Xenopus tropicalis: one gene and its partner. The protein of the gene in region 2 binds, or shares a complex with, the protein of the main gene of each other region. Links are inferred from orthologs where the notes say so. Each region holds a gene or a part of one and is shown on either strand. Other genes may lie near its edges. The genes, in order: ncaph and ncapd2.

Region 1 (3,820 bases), on a different chromosome or scaffold from region 2:
TGGACCTGATGACTGCTGCAGTAACCGCCATGATCTTCGTGAAGACACGCGGGGCTGAAGAGAGGCCGAACGGCAGGGCCATGAACTGGAAGTGTAGGTTGCGGTAGGCAAAGCGCAAGTATCTCTGATGGCGAGGGGAGATGGGGACGTGAAGATAGGCATCTTTCACGTCCAGTGCGGTGAGGAATTCCTGAGGGCCCATGGCCGCGATGACTGAGCGCAGAGATTCCATTTTGAACTTGGTGTAGCGAATAAATTTGTTTATGCCTTTGAGGTCGAGAATCGGTCGGAAGGACCCGTCCTTCTTGGGAACGAGGAAAAGATTGGAATAGTATCCCTGAAATCTCTCGGCCGGAGGTACTGGGGATATTACTGCGGCAGCCTGTAGGTCTTGGATTGCCGTCTGAAAAGCCTGGAGGAGGCGAGGGTCCCCGGGGGTTCTGGACATGAAGAAGCGGTGAGGAGGGGGGGCTGTGAATTCGAGGTGGTAACCTCGTGTTATGACCTCGCAAACCCAGGAGTCCTGGGCATAAGTCTGCCACTGAGCACGGAAGAGCTGCAACCGCCCCCCTACTGGGGCTTGCAGCAAGGAGACGGACGGGTAGTCATGCAGAAGTGGACTTGTCCGTCTGTTTGTGAGTGGGTTTCCGGGTCTGCCAGGCGGAGCGAGGCTTGTTGTTGAATTTGCCTCGGGAGGATGAAGATTGGGAGGAATCGGATGGCTTGGAGGATCTGTATCCGGAGCCACGAAAAAATCTCCCCCTGCGAAAGGAAGGCCGGGACTTGTTCTGTGGGAGGAAGGTGCTCTTCCCGCCTGTGGCCTGGCTGATGATCTTGTCCAATTCTGTACCGAAGAGTAACTTACCCTTGAAGGGGAGGGAAGTTAAGGATTTTTTGGAAGAAAGGTCTGCAGACCAAAGTTTGAGCCAAAGAGATCTGCGAGCGGCCACTGTAAGGGCCGAGGCCCTAGAGGTTAATTGGGCGGCATCAAGGGTTGCTTCGCAGATAAAGGAGTTAGCCTCTTTGATCTGGGACACCATGGGGACGAGTTCCTGTCTGGGAACTCCCGACAGAATGCTGTCCAGGAGAGTTTGGGTCCAGGACTGGGTTGCCCTGCTTACCCAAGCGGCGGCGAAGGTAGGGCGCAAGGCTGTCCCAGAAGCGGAGAAGGCCGAGCGCAAGAACCCCTCCAATTTTTTGTCCATTGCGTCCTTGAAGGAGGACGCATCAGGGACAGGAAGGGCCGTGTTTTTGGAGAGGCGCGACACCGGAGCATCGACGACTGGAGGGGAAGACCAGGTATCTATGGTTTCCTGCGGGAAGGGATAGAGACGCTGGAAACGTTTGTTGGACTGAGATCGCCTCTCAGGGTTATCCCATTCAGATTGCACAATATTATCTAGCTGTGCGTGTGAGGGAAAGCATACGGATTGTTTCTTTTGCCTCTTGAAAAGGAGCTTAGAGGCGTCAGCAGAATTAGAGGAATCCCCTAGATTGAGGGTATCTATGACAGAGGTGATGAGGGCCTCAATTTCCTCTGAAGATGACTTGGGCAGGTCTTCGCCCAACATATCCGAATCACCAGAAAGCTCACCCTCACTTAAAGATGCTTCTGGTTGAAGTGGTGAATTAGCCGTAAATGGAGTGTCGCTCTCCTCATCAGATGAAGGAGGTGCATGACGCTTATGTGCAGTAGGTTTAGTAGCGTCTAGCTTTGCCAATAGCTTGTTAAGGGAATCCGCTAGTCTGGGAATACCGCTAGAAAGTTGGAGGGCCCAGTCAGGGGCAAGCTGATTAGTGGCAGCTGGGCCTGTGGGAACCTGGTCTGGTGGCAGAGGGGCACCAGAACCTGAGGGCTCAGAATGATCCAAGGCCAAGGGCTGAGGGGCTGCAGAGGCAGTTTCAGAAGGTCTGCAAACCTCACAAAGGGGTTCCTTATGCCCAGTGGGCAGGCGCTTTTTGCAATTGGCACAGGCCAGGAACTTAATATTAGCCAAAGAGGCTGGGCCCCGAGGGAATAGCTGCTTGCTGCCCTCCGCCATATTTGCCCCCAATAGTGCCCCAGGAGAGACTGCGCTGCAGGGATAAGCAAGTGGAAAAGGGAGTCAGCCTACCTACAGGTAGAGCGATACCGCTGCAGAGTCCCTGCGCCGCGATGCGTGTTCTCCCCAGGAGCTGCGCCAGAGAACTGGTGAGAAACGGCGCGAAGGAGAAAGCGCTGGTGGGCGGGCGGTATGACGGAGGGAGCGCGACGGCGGAGCAGGAAGTGTTGGCCAATGGGAGCGCAGGCCTGTGCGCGCCCATTTCAAATGCGGAAGTGGGGGCCCCCGGCGCTTCGGGATAGGAAAGGCCCGGTGGACGGTAGGGGGGGGATGGGAGTACCATCAGCGCTGCTGTAGTAAGCGCTTACTTACCGCTGCGGCCCGGATCTGCCCCCCAGGTGGGTGCTCCCTTGGCTAGCCATCTATCCCCCTGGCGAGGGTAGGAATGCTGCTAGGTGGCCAGCGCCGCAGCGACTTATCGGCCCCAAGGAGTATCCAGCGGTGGAGGGGGGATCTGAATGGAACCTACAGATGAGGTCTAGATCAACCCCCCCAAGTGTCCAGGCTAATCCTGGACTTTCTGACCTAGGTGCAGGCAGTGAGCCTGGTCCTACCTCCTGACACTAGGAGAAAAAACTGAAGCTATAGAGGCTGCGCCGTGGGGTATAGCTGGAGAGGGAGGAGTCTCTTTTTTTTTTTAATTTCCTACCTAGTGTCCTGCCTCCTGCAGGTGGAGCTATACCCATTGTCCCTGTGTCCCCCAAGCTATTGGGAGAGAAAATAGTCTTAAAACAGAACCTAGATGTGAAGGTTGGCTAGATCAATAACTTTCTAATTAAACAGGCTTGTCTGTTTGTGTGAGCAATATATATATGATATGTACAAAAGTATCAGGACATATAATTGGTTTGGGAATATGATACTGGACAAGCAGGTGAATACTGCTGCACATCGTGCAGATACTATTGAAATTAGTCCATATAACTTCTAAAGGGCAGGCTACAATTATCATGTATGTTGTCTACAATGGAAACCCGGCAAATGCTGCCCTTGATAATTTCTAAACATCTCTAAATCCAGGATTTAGTCAATTGACTTTTTATCAATTTTATGTATTATGGAATTTGTGCAAAACTAGTAAAAATGTATTTAAAAGAAGAAACACACATTACTAGATAAAGAGATCAAGTAGATGAGAGGGGAGAAGTCTCTTAAAATATTGTCAAGTGATCACTCACTCTGGTTTTTCGAAAATGAACTTCAAAGTCAACGTCATCTTCAAAATTTAATTCAAATACTTTCTTTGCCTTCTTGACCTTCTGTTGGTCCGAGTCTGTGCTGGCTATAGGCACAACAGCAAATCGTTAATAAGTGGTGCTCCGAGTTCATCTGCGGTAGAAAAAAAAAGTAAAACACACCTACCTTTCTGACGGGGACGGAAACGCCAATGCTCGGGGCCTGCCCACATGGACATGGTACGGGGGCTGAAATAGGAATACTCCCCTGGACACGAAGACAGTTGGAGGCACATGGTACCAATGTCACCATTTCCAATTTGAGTTAGTTGTGGTCTATAAAGAGAGCTGGTTGAGATTAATATTTGCCTCTTTAGAAAATTCAAGGAACACAAATTACCAATAATCTCTATCATTAATAATAAAAATGAACATACCTTTTTCGTTCCGACCTGCAAGCCTCACGATGCTCAGCAAACTCTCTGATATCTCCAGCATCCATCCCATCACAAACATCTGCATCAAAATCATCAGCTACCGGGG
Region 2 (3,820 bases):
CTTCCTGTTACAGGCCCTTACCTTCATCCTGCGTTTGGTGCCCATCCAGGACTTTGTGGCTGCAGCGCAGCAGAATCTCTGAACAGATTTCCTCTGGTTCCTCTCCAAGCTCATACACCAACCTCACTGCTGTCTCTTTGAAGGGAAGCCAGTGCAGCCCTGACAGGCCTATTCCTACATTATACAAAAGCAGAGATGCCCAATCAACTAAACTCACTACCAGCTAGTAGTGAAGTATCTTCATTTGTTATTATGTTATTATTTGTAGGTTTAGTTTTCACTTTTTGTGCAGCAGCTGGCACCTGGTTGCTAGGGTACAAATTACCTTAGCAACCAGGGAGCAGTATGAATGAGAGGATGGTATATGAATAGGACAAGACCTGAATAGAAAATCAAGTTATAAAAAAGGAACAATAAAAAAACCCAAGAAACTGTAGCATCAATAAGCAATAGGTTTAGACCCCCATCTGAAAGCTCCAAAGAGTTAGAAGAAAAAGGCAGAGAACAAAAATGACAAGAAAAAAAATGAAGACCAACTGGAAAGATGTTTAGAATAGGCTGTCCCTTCTCAGCCTGGCAGTTATAGCTTCTAATGCTAATGGGCTCCTGCTGCACAAATATGGCCGTCCCCTCAGAGGAACATGGGGGGGGAATCAGACAGGTTATATAAAAGCATCGGGCAAATACTTCCTAAAGGCAAAAATTAACACATACAAAGAAAATGGTTTTAATATATAACAGTCTATAGAATAACCCTGACAACCCAGAGGCTTGTACAACTGAGGAAGCACCGACACTGTACACTTACCTCCGGCAACAGCCTCTGTCAGATGCACAAATAGAGAGTGATCTTTTGGGAGCCGGAAAGGCTCGGTGCTCTTGCCCAGAGATGGCTGCAAGATATTAAAGCAAACAGTCTCCATTAAGTACCAATGAAAATGCCAAGTAAATGGAAACACCTTGCATCCCCCCCCATCTTACCTTTTGGCTGTCTGTGATCTTTAGAATGCAGTTACACACTTCCTGAGCCAACTGATAATCCTCCTGCACTTGTTCCCCAAGTCCCACAGTCACCAGAGTGTCCAGGTTGCTCATTACAATCTCTGGTTGCCCCCTAACAGAGCAAAGAAAGACAGCATCATGTTAAAACAGACAGCCATTAATATACTGAAGGAACAATTTGTGATAAGGAGACAAAGCCACATACAAAGCGGGAAGTAGCATAGGATACTCCTTGTAAGGCAGCACAAAGCAAAGGCATCAAAACTTTAAGGGTAAAGCCCAGAGACATTAATATGGAAGAGACCCTAATATGGAGAACTAAATGGATTTAGATGTTGGTTAGAGTATAATAATAATAATAATAAAGTCTGTATTTCTCAATATCTTACTTTGTCATCATGCCCAGCAGCATAATTGCTGCCCTTCGCTCCAAGGCAGAGGAAGGAGACTTCTGGGTAAACTTTTCCCAAAGTAACTGTATTACAGTAGGGTGTATATCTCCTTTCTGTATAAATTCTGAGACCTAAGATTAAAGCAACAAGTTAGGCACAATAATAGTGAAATGTGCTTTGTAAGTTCTAGCAAGTACACAGCTGTTTACCACCAACAATCTGTCCATATAAACAAATGAGTGAAAAAATAACTGTTGCACTACAGGTTTTTATAGTTTATGCCCAAATTGGATATGGGACAGATGTATAATGGCAGGTATGAGCCAAATGCACAGAGGTGTTAATTTATTGCAATAAAAGTGCAATCTAGCTGTATGCTCAAGGTGTAGCGCTCTTGCCAGACATTCCTGGATGGATTAAGTACTCACAATTTCCTCCAGGCACTGCAATATTCCTGCGGAGGAATCTACCATGAGCAGAGAGAGATTCCGAACCAAGGCCTGAGCTTTAACCCTATAAAAAAGGTGAAACAAGAAGCAATAAACTTCACAATCACAAAGCACTGCTTTTCTGGGAGGGGTGGGCAACTCTTCAGGGGGCCAAAACTAGTACAGGTATGGGATCCCTTATCCGGAAACCCATTATCCAGAAAGTTCCAAATTACACAAAGGCCATTTCCCATAGACTCCATTACAAGCAAATAATTCTAATTTTTAAAAATGATTTCCTTTTTCCCTGTAATAATAAAACAGTACCTTGTACTTGATCCCAACTAAGATAGAATTAATCCTTATTGGAGGCAGAACAAGCCTATTGGGTTTATTCAATATTTAAATGATTTTTAGCAGACTTAAGTTATGGAGATCCAAATTACAGAAAGATCCCTTATCCAGAAAACCCCAGGTCCCGAGCATTGTGGATAGTAGGTCCCATACCTGTACCAAGAAATATGTAAGGAAAACGTCAAACGATCAATAGGTCTCACCTTGAGTATGCAGTGCAGTTTTGGGCTCCAGTCCTTAAGAAGGATATTAATGAGCTGGAGAGAGTGCAGAGACTGCAACTAAACTGGTAAAGGGGATGGAAGGGTTAAACTATGAGGTGAGACTGTCGAGGTTGGGGTTGTTCTCTCTGGAAAAGAGGCGCTTGCGAGGGGACATGATTACTCTGTACAAGTACATTAGAGGGGATTATAGGCAGTTGGGGGATGTTCTTTTTTCCCATAAAAACAATCAGCGCACCAGAGGTCACCCCTTTAGATTAGAGGAACAGAGCTTCCATTTGAAGCAGCGTAGGTGGTTTTTCACAGTGAGGGCAGTGAGGTTGGGGAATGCCCTTCCTAGAGATGGGGTAATGGCAGACTCTGTTAATGCCTTTAAGAGGGGCCTGGATGAGTTCTTGATCAAGCAGAATATCCAAGGCTATTGTGTTACTAATACCTACAGTTAGTACTAGTGGTTGTATATATAGTTTATGTATGTGAGTGTATAGATTGGTAGGTGTGGGTTAGGTGTGCTGGGTTTACTTGGATGGGTTCAACTTGATGGACACTGGTCTTTTTTCAACCCTATGTAACTACGTAACTATGTAATAGGGGTCTTAAAAGCATTTTGATTATCTATATCTTGCAAAGGGATCATCAAAATGGGCAGAATGCATGCTGGTCTGTTTAGTCACAGCCTGCTTGCATGGACAGAAACAAATACTGCACTGAAGAGCCAATACCTTGTAAAAGTGCCACTATACACTTATTTCCCTTTGTATTTGTTGGAGATTAAGAGGTGACCATAGGTGAATATATTTACCATACTGCCCTACTTCTATAGTGTTACTGTCTGAAATTGTAGGATTACTCTTGCCAAACTATATTAATCTCAAACTAGCAGCCACATCCCAATCAGATCTTATGAGAATCCTACGCTAGACTATAAAAAGGATGTCCTTTAAAAAAAGGTAGGCAAAGGGGCATGAAATGGCATGAATAGGGGGGATAACTATGGATTCCACAGGCATACCTGCAGCAAGGACCCTATTAAATTGTTTGCACAGCCTGTAACTATGCCAGCATACGTATCACCCTGCACTAAAGCACAAACCAGAAGGACATTGAGGACCTTCAGTTCATGCAAAAAATATTGAGGCCCCCTATATTTAGCCATATTAAAAAAAAAATGCACCATCCATTATGTGTTGGAGAAAGGCAAAACAAAGCAGTTACCTCTCCGACTCCCCATTCGAGGTGAGGTACAATCGTCGATAGGCACTAAGTACAGCCTCGCGAACTCCTGGCTCTTTGGACCAGACCAGGGGTAGCATGCGACGTACGCCAAGCAGAGCTTGGGAGACTCCAAACTGGGACACGGTCACAAAGAACTCAATGACTTCCTGCACCACTAAGATACAAAAGACACAGAAACGAGTGGGTT

Evidence for each region.
Region 1: ncapd2 (region 2) and ncaph share a complex: the UniProt entries of both Homo sapiens proteins name them as parts of the condensin complex. The link is inferred for Xenopus tropicalis from reciprocal best matches to the Homo sapiens genes NCAPD2 and NCAPH.

The regions. Positions count from the first base shown.
Region 1 is NC_030679.2:125,124,245-125,128,064, reverse strand, and holds part of ncaph (condensin complex subunit 2), read right to left. Parts: coding exon 3,715-3,820; intron 3,626-3,714; coding exon 3,465-3,625; intron 3,385-3,464; coding exon 3,281-3,384; intron 1-3,280. UniProt on the Homo sapiens protein: Regulatory subunit of the condensin complex, a complex required for conversion of interphase chromatin into mitotic-like condense chromosomes.
Region 2 is NC_030683.2:9,987,201-9,991,020, reverse strand, and holds part of ncapd2 (condensin complex subunit 1), read right to left. Parts: intron 3,788-3,820; coding exon 3,613-3,787; intron 1,908-3,612; coding exon 1,823-1,907; intron 1,526-1,822; coding exon 1,392-1,525; intron 1,115-1,391; coding exon 982-1,114; intron 894-981; coding exon 809-893; intron 175-808; coding exon 22-174; intron 1-21. UniProt on the Homo sapiens protein: Regulatory subunit of the condensin complex, a complex required for conversion of interphase chromatin into mitotic-like condense chromosomes.